Linked DNA regions of Arabidopsis thaliana. The protein of the gene in region 1 interacts with the protein of each later gene in a pairwise test. Each region holds a gene or a part of one and is shown in the gene's direction. Other genes may lie near its edges.

Region 1 (8,121 bases):
GATTTTGCAAAACTGCCTAAATAACACCTAAATTTATTCTTAACCCATCTATGTATATGTTTACTATGTATGTATATATATTTATATATATATATATATATATATATATGGCCCTCTACTTCATACTTAGAAGCAAGAAGCTCATAGAAATTTACTTCAAAAATTGACCTCAAACGACAAGCTAAAAGAGGTGAAGTTCTTTTTCCTATCTTTTATTTTAAATATGGCTCTGTTTATATATCTATATTTATATATTACTTACTGTTGATTTGAAAGAAATTTTCTATTCGAATATGTATGTGAGAGGAAAGGATATGGTTCAAGTGTCATTGTTATCGGGAATGGCAAATTATATTCCTTTCCTCAAAAAATTTAGCATAACAAAACTAATTATCCATCATATAAAAACAATCACATCGTATTTGTTTTCTATTGTCTTATGCTAAACAAGTTTTATATATAACTCATGCTCACGTTAACGAAGACCCATACAAAAATGGGTTGATTTTCTTGATCTCCTTCATTGGAGAACATGACTGATTTTCAATAGTCACTAAAGTATATACATAGATATATACTATATAGTTGTTTTTGATATTTTAAATGGATAAAAAAAAAGATGACGGGATCTATCATTTGGGAAATTATTCATAGATTTATTTAAATAGTTCCTAACTAATTGCTTGAATATGGGAAGAGACGACGAAATATAGTTAAAAAATTGGAGTATCCTTTTTGGTTTTTACTTTACCATATACATGAAAAATATATACAATCATTCTTCTTTTTGTCTTCTTTTATCTTTGGAATATTTCTTTTCACATTCAATCTTCCATGACACACAGACAGACATATATATATGTGTGTATGTATGATATGATAGGAACTTTTTAAAACCAAAAAAGAGAGACCCATATGAGATGATGATGACGATTGAGACAAATAATTATTTTGACAATTTAAGAAAAACATAAGATGCTTTGTGGATTAACTTTTGAAAATTCAAGAAATCTGTCCCTATATATATGAAAACATTAGCTTTAGAATACAATTTTATGAGATTTATTTAGTTTATAGTTTATAGTTTTAAATTTATATTTATGTGTTATTAAAATTGTAAAATTATATGAAAACATAGTCGCTTAGTTTTACAACCGCTAATTTATTTCAAACTCAAAATATTATATTTTTATTCCTTCTTCGGTTACGTATTTTTCTTATGAGATATTATATGGTCAAACATTTAAAATTAGTTAAATGTTACATACACACAAATTCCAACATTTTCATTTCTTTTTAAGGAAAAAACCATTTCATTTCTTTAAGATATATAAAACCAAAAAAATTATGTTTTTATATAGCTTAGATCGTGATGCTAAACTTTTCTTGTAAGAGCAATCTCGTATAGATATTTTATGTTAGTGTCAAATATCTTCTTCTACAATTTCTAAAGTCATATTACACTATGGTAATTGTTTTCTAAACCCTTTTAGATCCAAAAAAAAAAAAACTTGAAATTTATTATTCACATATGTTAGCGAGAGAGAGGAGCTGTTGAGGGTTGTCTCACGCACCATCCACTGTCGTTTTGTGGCAAATGGATTGGGTCCACCGACCTCTGTAGCTCTCATAGTTTCTTTTTTTTCTAAAATTAATTACATATTTAGAAAAAATGATATCAAAAATAATTAATAGCTCTGTATATGTGTTAGTGTCTACAGGCGACACCAAAATTATATAAATATTCTTATTTAAATGCGTTACAAACAAAAGAAAAATTATATAAAATTTTACAAATAAATGTATAGAGTTTTTAGTATCATATGTATCATACATATGAAATTAGAGCTATACCAAACTAACCAAGCTAGATTTAAATTCAGTTTGATTATCTTACCCTATTTTTTTAACCGAATATGAACTTTTAACACTCTAGGCTATAACATTGGGTGGTGACTTATATTTCTTCTTTCTTTTTACTAGCCTACACTCTTTTTCACCTGTCACTTTCAACTTCTCTCTTCTATTACCTCACAAGAATTTCTATGTTTTTTTAATAATTTTATATCTATTAAAAAAAGTATAACCAATTAATTAAAAATCTGGAATATCCCAATTTTAGGGCTTTATTGAGATAAGATATCAGTGGAAGTCAAAAAAGAATTTAATGTTAAAGAGTTTCTTCTCTCTAATTTCATTTCATTTCTCTTTTTTTTTTTCTTTTTCTTCTTTCTCTCTCTCACCATCACATAGAACACAGAAGAATCCATGGCTGCTTCTTCATCCTCCGCTGCTTCCTTCTTTGGAGTCCGACAAGATGACCAATCTCACCTCCTCCCACCTAATTCCTCCGCCGCTGCTCCTCCTCCTCCACCTCCTCACCACCAGGCACCGCTGCCACCGCTTGAAGCTCCACCGCAGAAAAAGAAGAGAAACCAACCAAGAACTCCAAGTAAGTTAATTACCTCTTAATTCAAATCTTTTATAATCATGTGATCATTTCTTAAAAGAACTTATTGATTGGTGAAAAAGATAAATCCCTTTTCCATGTCCTTTTTTTTCTTCTCCCTTTTACATTTTTTAAAATCTTGAAATAAGCAAATTAGCAAACCCTAGCTTGTAGTTGGTTTTTCAAAATTCAGATTTCAATCAATTTATCTTCCATGCAATATAAGACTTTTAAAATTTAGTTAATAATTTTCCTCTTGATTAGATTCCGATGCGGAAGTGATAGCTTTATCTCCAAAGACACTAATGGCTACAAACAGATTCATATGTGAAGTATGCAACAAAGGGTTTCAAAGAGAACAGAATCTACAACTTCACCGAAGAGGACACAATCTTCCATGGAAGCTCAAACAGAAATCGACCAAAGAAGTGAAGAGAAAAGTGTATCTTTGTCCGGAGCCCTCGTGCGTCCACCATGACCCGTCACGTGCTCTCGGAGACCTCACCGGAATCAAGAAACATTATTACCGTAAACACGGTGAAAAGAAGTGGAAATGCGATAAATGCTCTAAGCGTTACGCTGTTCAATCGGATTGGAAAGCTCACTCCAAGACTTGTGGTACCAAAGAGTATCGTTGTGACTGTGGTACACTCTTCTCTCGGTTAGTAATCCAAATCTTTCAAACTCTTTAAATTATAATTTAATCTATTGAGCTGCTATAGTGATATGTGTGTGAATATGTGTCTGTGAGTCATTCTTCATGAATTAGGGTTTTTTTTAGGTTCACTTTCTGTTTCGCCTCGAAGTCTTCGATGCTCTTATCGCTTTCTTTCGTGCAGTAAATGCAACTTTAGTTTTTTTTTTCTTTTTTTTTTTATAAAAAAAAATGATACAAGAACACACGTGAATGTGTGTGTGTGTCTATATAACTATATCTATAGATGACACTGAAACTGCCATATTTCAATAGATGCTTTCTAGCAGAAACTCAAAACCAAAGAGGACCAATTTCAATTTCAGTTTTTTTTTTAAATATTCTTTTGCCTTGGAAACACCGCCCTATTTTCTGTCATAAAAATAAATTAATATATTTTTCTCAGGATTTTTTTTTCTTGGATATGAAATTATACTTATACTATATGGGCAATTCACGTGCTGCTAAACTATATAATATCTAGGGAGGTTGTTGTTACAGTGTTTGTTCTCTTATGTGTAAAATTTTACGAAAATACAATTATTTCATATGATTCGTTTGTACTCTGTACCATAGCCACATATTAGTTTGGTTCACTACTCTACACATTTTGCATAAAATGGCATAAATTTGCATAGACGTGATAACTAATAGACTAAATAATTATTTCGAATATAGAGTTTTTTTCTCAGTCTTGGCTGGCATTGCTGTGTTTGTGTGTGTGCGTGCATTTAGAGGAGTTCTATAAATAGAATGAAGTAAATAAATATGTGGTGCTGCAAATATATATAAGTAGCTAGTTTTCTTAAATAAAAATATAAGTAGTTCATTGAATACATGCTCAACTTGCATTTATTGAACATACAAGATCTTGAATTAGGACAAACTCAGATATTCATTTGACAATCATTCTCTATACATTAGTGTGAAACTTAACTTTTTCCACCTACCTTTGGAATTCGTTGAATACCACATTAATTTATTATATAGATAGCTATATTCATAGTTTCATACATAAATTATAGTGAATTAAGCATAATAGTTTTCCGGAGTTGATTAATAATGTTTATGTTTATTATTATTGCATAAACTGATATTGATAAGAGTTAGATTTGTTCGTACACATAGTCATATAGACAAATACATCATCATAGTTGAAATGTGACACAACATTGTACTCCTATTTATGTGTATGCGTGCAATTTTATTGTATGCATCAAACATGTGAGTGTGTAAGCTTGTTAAGAGTTTACACAGGTGAATAATAATATGATGTATAATAGAGTAGTAGAGTGACTTTCTAGCCATCTATCTACTTTTCAAGATCCCATAATTACACGCGAATCTATTTGTAGCTACGTGACATGATGAGTCTCTCTCTCTACTTACATTTATATTTTTTTTCTTTCACTTTTCCCAAAATATGTCTTTTATTTCATCATTTTATATGAATAGTATAGAGATATATCTGACGATCCAATAGATTCCATTGTGAAATTGATTTTTATTTATTTTATTTTGTGTCACAGGCGAGACAGTTTCATCACACATAGAGCTTTCTGTGACGCGTTGGCTCAAGAGAGTGCGAGACACCCAACTTCATTGACTTCTTTGCCAAGTCATCACTTCCCGTACGGACAAAACACAAACAACTCCAACAACAACGCTTCAAGCATGATCCTTGGTCTGTCCCACATGGGGGCCCCACAGAATCTTGATCACCAGCCCGGTGACGTTCTCCGTCTTGGAAGCGGAGGAGGAGGAGGAGGAGCCGCTTCACGCTCTTCTTCTGATCTCATTGCTGCGAATGCTTCAGGCTACTTCATGCAAGAGCAAAACCCTAGCTTTCATGATCAACAAGATCATCATCATCATCATCAACAAGGGTTTTTGGCTGGGAACAATAACATCAAGCAATCACCAATGAGTTTTCAACAGAATCTGATGCAGTTCTCACATGATAACCATAATTCTGCTCCCTCCAATGTCTTCAATCTCAGCTTCCTCTCCGGAAACAACGGAGTTACTTCTGCCACAAGTAACCCTAATGCTGCCGCCGCTGCTGCTGTTTCTTCTGGTAATCTTATGATATCAAACCATTATGATGGCGAAAATGCTGTTGGAGGAGGAGGAGAAGGAAGCACTGGTCTCTTCCCTAACAATCTGATGAGCTCGGCAGATAGAATTAGCTCAGGATCAGTCCCTTCACTCTTTAGCTCATCAATGCAAAGTCCAAATTCAGCACCTCACATGTCAGCCACTGCCCTTCTACAGAAAGCTGCTCAAATGGGTTCAACCTCAAGCAACAACAACAACGGAAGCAACACCAACAACAATAACAATGCCTCATCGATCCTAAGAAGCTTTGGGAGTGGAATCTACGGAGAAAATGAGAGTAATCTTCAGGATTTGATGAATTCTTTCTCTAACCCCGGCGCAACGGGAAACGTTAACGGAGTTGATTCTCCTTTTGGTTCGTACGGAGGAGTGAACAAAGGATTAAGCGCTGACAAACAGAGCATGACTAGAGACTTTCTTGGAGTTGGACAGATCGTAAAAAGCATGAGTGGAAGCGGAGGGTTTCAACAACAGCAACAACAGCAACAGCAGCAACAACAACAACAACAACATGGAAATAGTAGAGAAAGAGTTGGCTCGTCGTCGGATTCCGCTGATAGAAGCAGCATGAATGTGAATACCGGAGGTGGTCCGGCAAGTACTTCACCACCTTATGGAATCCATCATGCGAGTTTCTAAGAAGATAAAAGAAGTTTCTAAGGAGAAATTTTAAAAAAGGTTTTTAGTTCATCAAAGTACATGCTATATCTTTCAGGTATGCATGTCGTCATCAAAACCCCATTTGAAGTAATTAAAATTTTAGTTGCAATTTATCTAAACTCAGTTCTTTTTTTTTTTTCTTTTGTAAAAGATTTTGCCTTTCATTGTTTATATAAAATGGATTCCCTCCTGAAAAAAACAAATTTCAGAGTTATAGTTTATGGTTTCACAATGAAGAAATTTTCATATTATTATCCGTAGATTTTTTTCTTCTTGCCTTGTGACATATTAGATACTTTAAGAAATTCAATATATTTCTGGCTTATAGTTTTAGAGTCAATGCTTAGTCTTTGTTCTTGTATGTATTATTTCTTATAGGGTCAAAGGCTAAAAACAACATTATACTAACGGGTTTAACTATAAAAAATTTGGGTGTGAATAATTGTTTTTGATAGGAAAAAAATGTTTTTTTATATTTGTTTTTGGCTGACACATTTATCGTCTTATCATTGCATGGGGCAGTCAATGAGTTGGAGAGTACAAGCAGCCTTTGCTAAGTTTTTATTTGTCTTTTTGTTTTCATTTTCTTTTATTTGCCTTTTTATTCTTTAATTTCTTTTCATTTGTCATCTTCACTAGCTGGCAATGTCACGAGTGTTTGTCCTGTGATCTCCTTTCTAAATATCTCGATACATGTATACATATACATGTCACATAGGTGTCACATGTGCATATATTTATGCATTTGTATAGTTCTGTATGTAACATGTTCCTACCATATCCTCAAAGGATTGTCCCCATCATATTTTAAATTTGACGGTCCAAAATAAACAATTCTGTCTCAACATTCACGCGTCTTCATTATTGATGCTAATTTGCGGTTAAAAGTTGTAGCATCAATTGAAACTGCATCTAAGGTACAATTTCGATTTTTGTATGGAATCGTGTATATATTAGAATACATAAGAATTACAGTTTTAGTTTTTAAATTTTGTTGTTACTATTTTTTTTAGATTGGATATTGTATTGTCTCTTACAAATATAACTATTCAAATGATTTAATAGAACTTCATTCAAGTATTTTGATATTTCGGTGTATGATGGTTGATATTTTCTTGGATTTTTAGCTAGTTTTAGATATTTTTTTTGTTAGAGATTTATTCTATTGGTGTGCGTATGTGAACATATCATTACACTATTGTGAGTGACAACATCTACAATTGTTGAAATAACGATATTAATAATGGTAATATAATGTCTTTGTCGTAATAATTTATAAGGGGAATAACAATAATAGTTAAATTTCGTATATATAATGTAGGGACATACATGCAAGTGATGGAAGTAAGGAGGCCCATCGACATGAAACGAGAGGGAGAGATTATATCGTTGTCTCACCAAAAACAGACAGCTCTTCTCTCATCTTCTTAATTTCCCCTGTTTCTTTTTCTGTTCTAAAATTGTTTTGCTTATAACCTATTTTTTTCTTGGTTAAATAATCCATGTAGAGAAAGTAGATTTTTACCATCAACGACACCCTGCTTTAAAATTAAAAGCGTAAATTTGTTATATTTTATCGTTCAATTCTATCTTTTGTAAACTAATGCACATTTACCAATTGGTTATTTTAATTTTTTTCGTCAATTTACCAATTGGATGTTTTATTCATGAATCTGAATGTTTTGTTTGTAGTAAGCTTGTGCAAAACTCTTTACAAAGAGCATGTATATTTTTGAAATTAATTGATTTTTTAGAAAAAAAATTGTTTTAAAAAATTATTTTTTTAGGTTCTCTATACACTATTTATTAGTTATCCCTTTATTATTAAAAGGGAAGTACAAATTGAAATTTTGTCTAATTTGGCCTCAATTTTGATTTTAATTTTAGATTTTGTTCTTTGCTATTTAAAATCATTAAGGATAATTTGGTCTTAACAATCTCCTAAACTTTATATGATCCGATTGAATCTAAACCGTTCAATAAAATTAATTCCCTTTTAATCTAAACCGTTCAACAAAAATAATATACAAATCATATATTACGATTCTTCACTAATCACTAAAAATTTATATTTATAAGTTTAGGATATCAAATTTATTCAAATATTTAGTATAAGAACCAAATAAACCGATTGCCCGCGGTAAATTGCGGGTTAAAACCTAGTTATTAATGAATTTTAAACTTCAAGATAAATAATTGA
Region 2 (5,164 bases), on another chromosome or scaffold:
GAAGGTACTTTGAAACAACAAATATTCTGAATGCAAGAACCGGAGGAAGCCCTCTTTCATTTGGAGATCCATTCTAGAAGGACGAGACCTCCTGCAGCAAGGACTTCGAATCCTTATAGAAGATGGCAAACAGACAAACATATGGACTGATTCATGGCTTCCAACACACCCACCAAGACCACCTCAAAAACGTGATGCGACGGTCACCAATCATACACAAGTCAAGCACCTAATGCAAGATGGCAGAAACATGTGGAATAAAGAAGTAATAGAAGAACTCTTTGAAGCAGATGAAGCACGATTGATACAAGGTTAAGATTAAGATCACAACCGTCCCCTGATGTACTAGGCTGGAACTACACAAAGCATGGGGAATACACATTCAAATCAAGTTATTGGCTCTGTACACATCTACCGAATCAACAACATGATTATGTTCCCCCACCAGGTTTACCCGAGTTTAAGAGAGTAGTATGGAAGCTAGACACGACACCAAAACTAAAGCACTTCATGTGGCGGATAGTAACTCAATCATTGGCGACAGGCGAGGCCTTGACACGACGACATATCATTTCAGATTCACAGTGTAAACGATGTTGTGCAGCTCCTGAAACATTAGAACGCCTATTCTTTGGATGCCATTATGTTCAAGCTATTTGGAGGGGCTCTCCGGTGTCACATACAGCGTTTTTCAATCCACACTTACCTTTTGAAGATAAATTCAGATTAATCCTTCAATGCTGTACTGATACGAGACAAGACCATATCACAAGACAAATACCTTTATGGATGTTGTGGCACATATGGAAGAGCAGGAATTTGTTAGTTTACCAGCGAAAAGGGAGTAATTGGCAAGATGATGTACAAAAAGCGATAACAGACTCATATGAGTGGATTCCTCTGCAGCGAGACACACAACGACGAAGTCTAAATGACAGAAGCGGGCAAGGGTAGCAAAAACCTATTCACGGCTTTATCAAATGCAATTATGACTGCAGTTTCTCAAGGAATGATCTAGCACCAAAGGCTGGTTGGATTTTACGAATTGACACAGGCAGTTATCTACTTGCGGCTCAAGGTACAAGACAACTATGCAACTCAGTGCTAGAAGCGGAACTACAGGCTCTCTTGATGGCAATGCAACATACATGGAGTAGAGGATATCGAAAGATTATATTTGAAGGTGATAATAGGACTGTGGAAAGCTTACTCAATGGGAACACAAGGAATTTTGAACTTCATAACCTCGTCATGGAGATACAACATTGGCGGAAGAAGTTTTCTACTGCCATTATCAAATGGTCTTTCCGGTCAACTAACAAAGCAGCTGATCGATTAGCTAAAGTGGAGTTAGAAAACATTGTTACTTTTGTCTCTCATTCTTATGTACCTCTGTTTCTTGTACAAATCCTCCATAGGATTACACATCATCCCTCTAATAAAGTATATCTGTTAATGTTAAAAAAAAATAAAAAAAAAAGAATCGGTTATTTTCGGGTTTTAAACTTAAAAACCAAAGAAACCAATATCCGAATCGAACCGAACCGTAATAAATTTCGGTTAGTTTCGGAAGAATTTTCAAAAATCCAAAATAACCGAAACCCGAAATAACCGACTCGGTTCGGTTCGGTTTACCCGAAGTCGCAGGCCTAATATTTTATATCAACAATTGACATATATTTTGACCCAAAAAAAAAAAATCAACAATTGACATATATTTGTTTTTATTAAAGTTTAATTTACATATTATGGAAGTCTCAAAATATTTGTTAAACAATGGCAAATATTTGTTAGACATATTTCATCTATTTAGCATGCACAACACGAATCCATATCTAATATTAGAAAGAATTATCCTTTGATTCTTTTTTTCTGAAGGAAATTTTGATTAATGGTAAGATTTGTTTATAAGCCCAAAAGCACAAATATTCTCCTACTTATAGCATGATATATTTTGAAGTGAATGTAAATTAAGAATTATTTTCGTAACAACAAATTTTATATTTATACAAAATAAATTAAATTCAGTTTCTTTCTCTCTTCTCTTTCTCGGTTTCCCCATTTTCTATCTAGACAAAGAGTGTTGTCTGAATTGGCTCTGTCTCAAAAAATGAAATTCTCAAATTAACCACAACGATCTTTAGAGCCTTCTTCGCTCACCGATCTCTGAAACCCTGGTTTGCTCTCGTCCTCTTCGTGTAACGATTCTTCTTCTTGATAAATTTTTAATCTTTGTTTCGGCTTTTCGATGAAATTGTTTTTTTTTTGGATCTCGTCTCTATCAGCTCATGTTCTTCTTTGATTATATGATAATTGTTGTTTCCTTTGCTCTGTTTTATGATTATTGTTGATTTTTGAGATTGAAATGTTCGAGGGTTTCTACTGTTCACTGTTCTTTACACGTATCAATGTTTTCTTGATCATGTTCTCTTATGATGTTAATAGAGAGACTAGTGTTATTGTGATGAATGATTCTTGTTAACTAAATTTGTCATTTTTGTTTTCACTTGACATTCATTTCTCTAACCATTTATTATAGGTAGTTTCTATGAGTATGTCGCAGTCTCGAGCTGTCCAAAGATCGTCTTCACCTAATGAGGATAGAGGTGAGAATCAGTTAGTGGTTTATGACTTGAAAGGAAATGATGATACTGAAGAAGAAGTTCTACCGGTTCAATCTCAGCCTTTGTCATCTAGAACACAGTGTCCCTCTATCGGGGCATTTACGGTTCAGTGTGCAAGTTGTTTCAAATGGAGACTCATGCCTTCAATGCAGAAGTATGAAGAGATTAGGGAACAGCTTCTTGAAAACCCGTTTTTCTGCGATACAGCGCGTGAGTGGAAGCCGGATATTTCTTGTGATGTTCCTGCTGATATCTATCAAGATGGAACTCGTCTTTGGGCTATTGATAAACCGAATATCTCTCGTCCACCCGCTGGCTGGCAACGTTTACTGCGGATTAGAGGTGAAGGAGGTACCAGATTTGCTGATGTGTATGTCGTTCGTTAACTCTTCTCTCATTTATGTTAATATTAGTCTTTCTTCTTTATACCATTGTATTGGCTTTCTTTATCATTCTTTTATCTTGGTTGTTTCAGTTATTATGTTGCTCCGTCTGGAAAGAAGCTTCGATCAACTGTGGAGGTCCAAAAGTTAGTTTCTCTACCACTCCATTTCCACATTTTCGTTTTCACATTTAACAAAGTGTTCCTTACTTTTATGTTTGATGAGGTCTCACTGTATCAGTCTTACCATTTTCGTCAACCAATATATTGAATCAGTAGGAACCTCAAGTATTGTTCTGTGGTCATAACTAGAGTTAGGCACTTATGCAAATTACAGAAATCCTTGCATGTGTTTTGTTTACTAACGAAAATGTACTATGCCAAGAAGTTAGTTAAACTATCATCCTTATTTCCATGATACTTCCCTGCAGCATTTGAGAGTGACAACAATGGTAGGAGAAAAAAGCTTAGTGACTTACCAATTCGTTTAGTGATTACCAAATTGTTTTCAGTGACGTATAGCTAGCTTCTTTACACCCTTATAACCACTATTACTGGTTTGCAGGTACTTGAATGACAACTCCGAATACATTGGAGAAGGGGTGAAACTTTCACAGTTCTCGTTTCAAATCCCGAAACCGCTGCAGGATGACTACGTGAGGAAGCGCCCAGCTCGACTACTGGATTCCATCGATAATACAAACACCCCTGTAGCTAAAGAAGGTGTGTTGCTTATCAAGGCACATAAATATAATTGTGGTTATCTTTTGTATCAAGGCTTTAGATTATTGATGTCATTTTTTCAGTCAAGAGTGTATTTGACGTATACTCGAACCGAACATTGGTGTCTTTAGGGAACTTTATTAACATGAAAACGTCTATGCTTTTACAAGTTTCTAACATTTCGCTTGTCTTGTTATTTTTCAGCTAATCCACTGGCATGGATATCTCCAGATGATCATATATCGTTGCAGCTAGGTACGCCAACCGAGTCTGGACTTAACAATTCACATTACCAACCATCGAAAAAGAAAAAAACATCGACGCTATCAATCTTTGGCTCCAACGACGAACTTGCTGATAGATAATCTAGCTAGACGAGAGTGAACTTATCTCGTCTTCTCTGGTATATAACCCGTCTTCTTTCTTCGTTTTTTGGGTTTGTCTTATCGAAGAAACTGAAAGCATGTGGTTAGCTTGTTTTTTGTGTATACCATCTATTTTGTTTTGCAGTGTAACATACTTTCTATGAAGAAGATGGGTCCTTTTGGTTTTTGCTTCCAAATAACTGGATTTTCATGCTGAAAGTTTTTAAACCTAAAGTTTGATTATTACCAAATTCCATTATCTCACAAATCCACTAGAGGACTGACACAAGAAAGCAGATAAGAATAGATCAGAGTCTGTTTAACTGTAGATGTGCATGTTAAGTTGGAACGTAGTTTATCTCAAAGGATATTTTAACGACATCCAAAAGATAACATTCGAAAGTCAAAACCATCCTAGGGGAGATATGGCTGAAGCTATTAGTTTGGTAAACATACAACAACAAAACTATGCCATATCTCTAATCTGCGCAAAAGGCAGAAACAAAAACTAACAACAAATCTGCCTTCTACTATCCTGCTTCGTGCATTCCCTATTCAGTTTTCCCGTGGTTAAGCCGTATCATCGGAACCAAGTGATGGGAGTGGGAGTAGTACTGACTTGAGGAAGCTGCGGAATCATACAGTTTTGCGCTTGCTGCCACGGATGCAAGCCAAAACCATAGGTGTGCTCTTGCTCTTGCTGCTGTCCTTGCTGAGGGAAAGATAGACTGGTGCTTCCAGTATCCTCTTCTATCTCATTGGATGCATCATCCATTACCACATCCTCACCTGTCTCATCCAACTCAGTAATCTCTAGTGTCCGCGGTTGTTGGAAGGTTCCTATGGACTGTGAGTAAGTAGACTGAGACGGATTCCAGCAAACAACAGCTTGACACTTGTTTAATCTCTCATCTTCATACTGATTATCATCAGCTATCGATACATCGCGAAGAAATCTATCTGCACAAGTGTTAACATTCAGAATTTAGACACAACCGTCTGTATTTAGTCAACATTCTGGATCACAAGTTAAAGGCAAACAAACAAAACGAACCAGAACAAAATCTGAC

Evidence for each region.
Region 2: the proteins of IDD5 (region 1) and MBD02 interact in a two-hybrid assay, tested with the Arabidopsis thaliana proteins (one large-scale study listed by BioGRID).

The regions. Positions count from the first base shown.
Region 1 is NC_003071.7:503,255-511,375, forward strand, and holds IDD5 (indeterminate(ID)-domain 5), read left to right. Parts: upstream 1-2,120; 5' UTR 2,121-2,268; coding exon 2,269-2,452; intron 2,453-2,713; coding exon 2,714-3,110; intron 3,111-4,672; coding exon 4,673-5,900; 3' UTR 5,901-5,976; exon of another isoform or gene 5,977-6,211; intron 6,212-6,443; 3' UTR 6,444-6,838; intron 6,839-7,242; 3' UTR 7,243-7,527; downstream 7,528-8,121. UniProt on the Arabidopsis thaliana protein: Transcription factor acting as a positive regulator of the starch synthase SS4. Controls chloroplast development and starch granule formation. Binds DNA via its zinc fingers.
Region 2 is NC_003076.8:13,522,655-13,527,818, reverse strand, and holds MBD02 (methyl-CPG-binding domain protein 02), read left to right. Parts: upstream 1-2,020; 5' UTR 2,021-2,198; exon of another isoform or gene 2,199-2,543; 5' UTR 2,544-2,548; coding exon 2,549-2,994; intron 2,995-3,099; coding exon 3,100-3,153; intron 3,154-3,571; coding exon 3,572-3,729; intron 3,730-3,933; coding exon 3,934-4,094; 3' UTR 4,095-4,416; downstream 4,417-5,164. Other genes in the region: AT5G35320 (DBH-like monooxygenase), read right to left, coding at 4,675-5,054. UniProt on the Arabidopsis thaliana protein: Probable transcriptional regulator.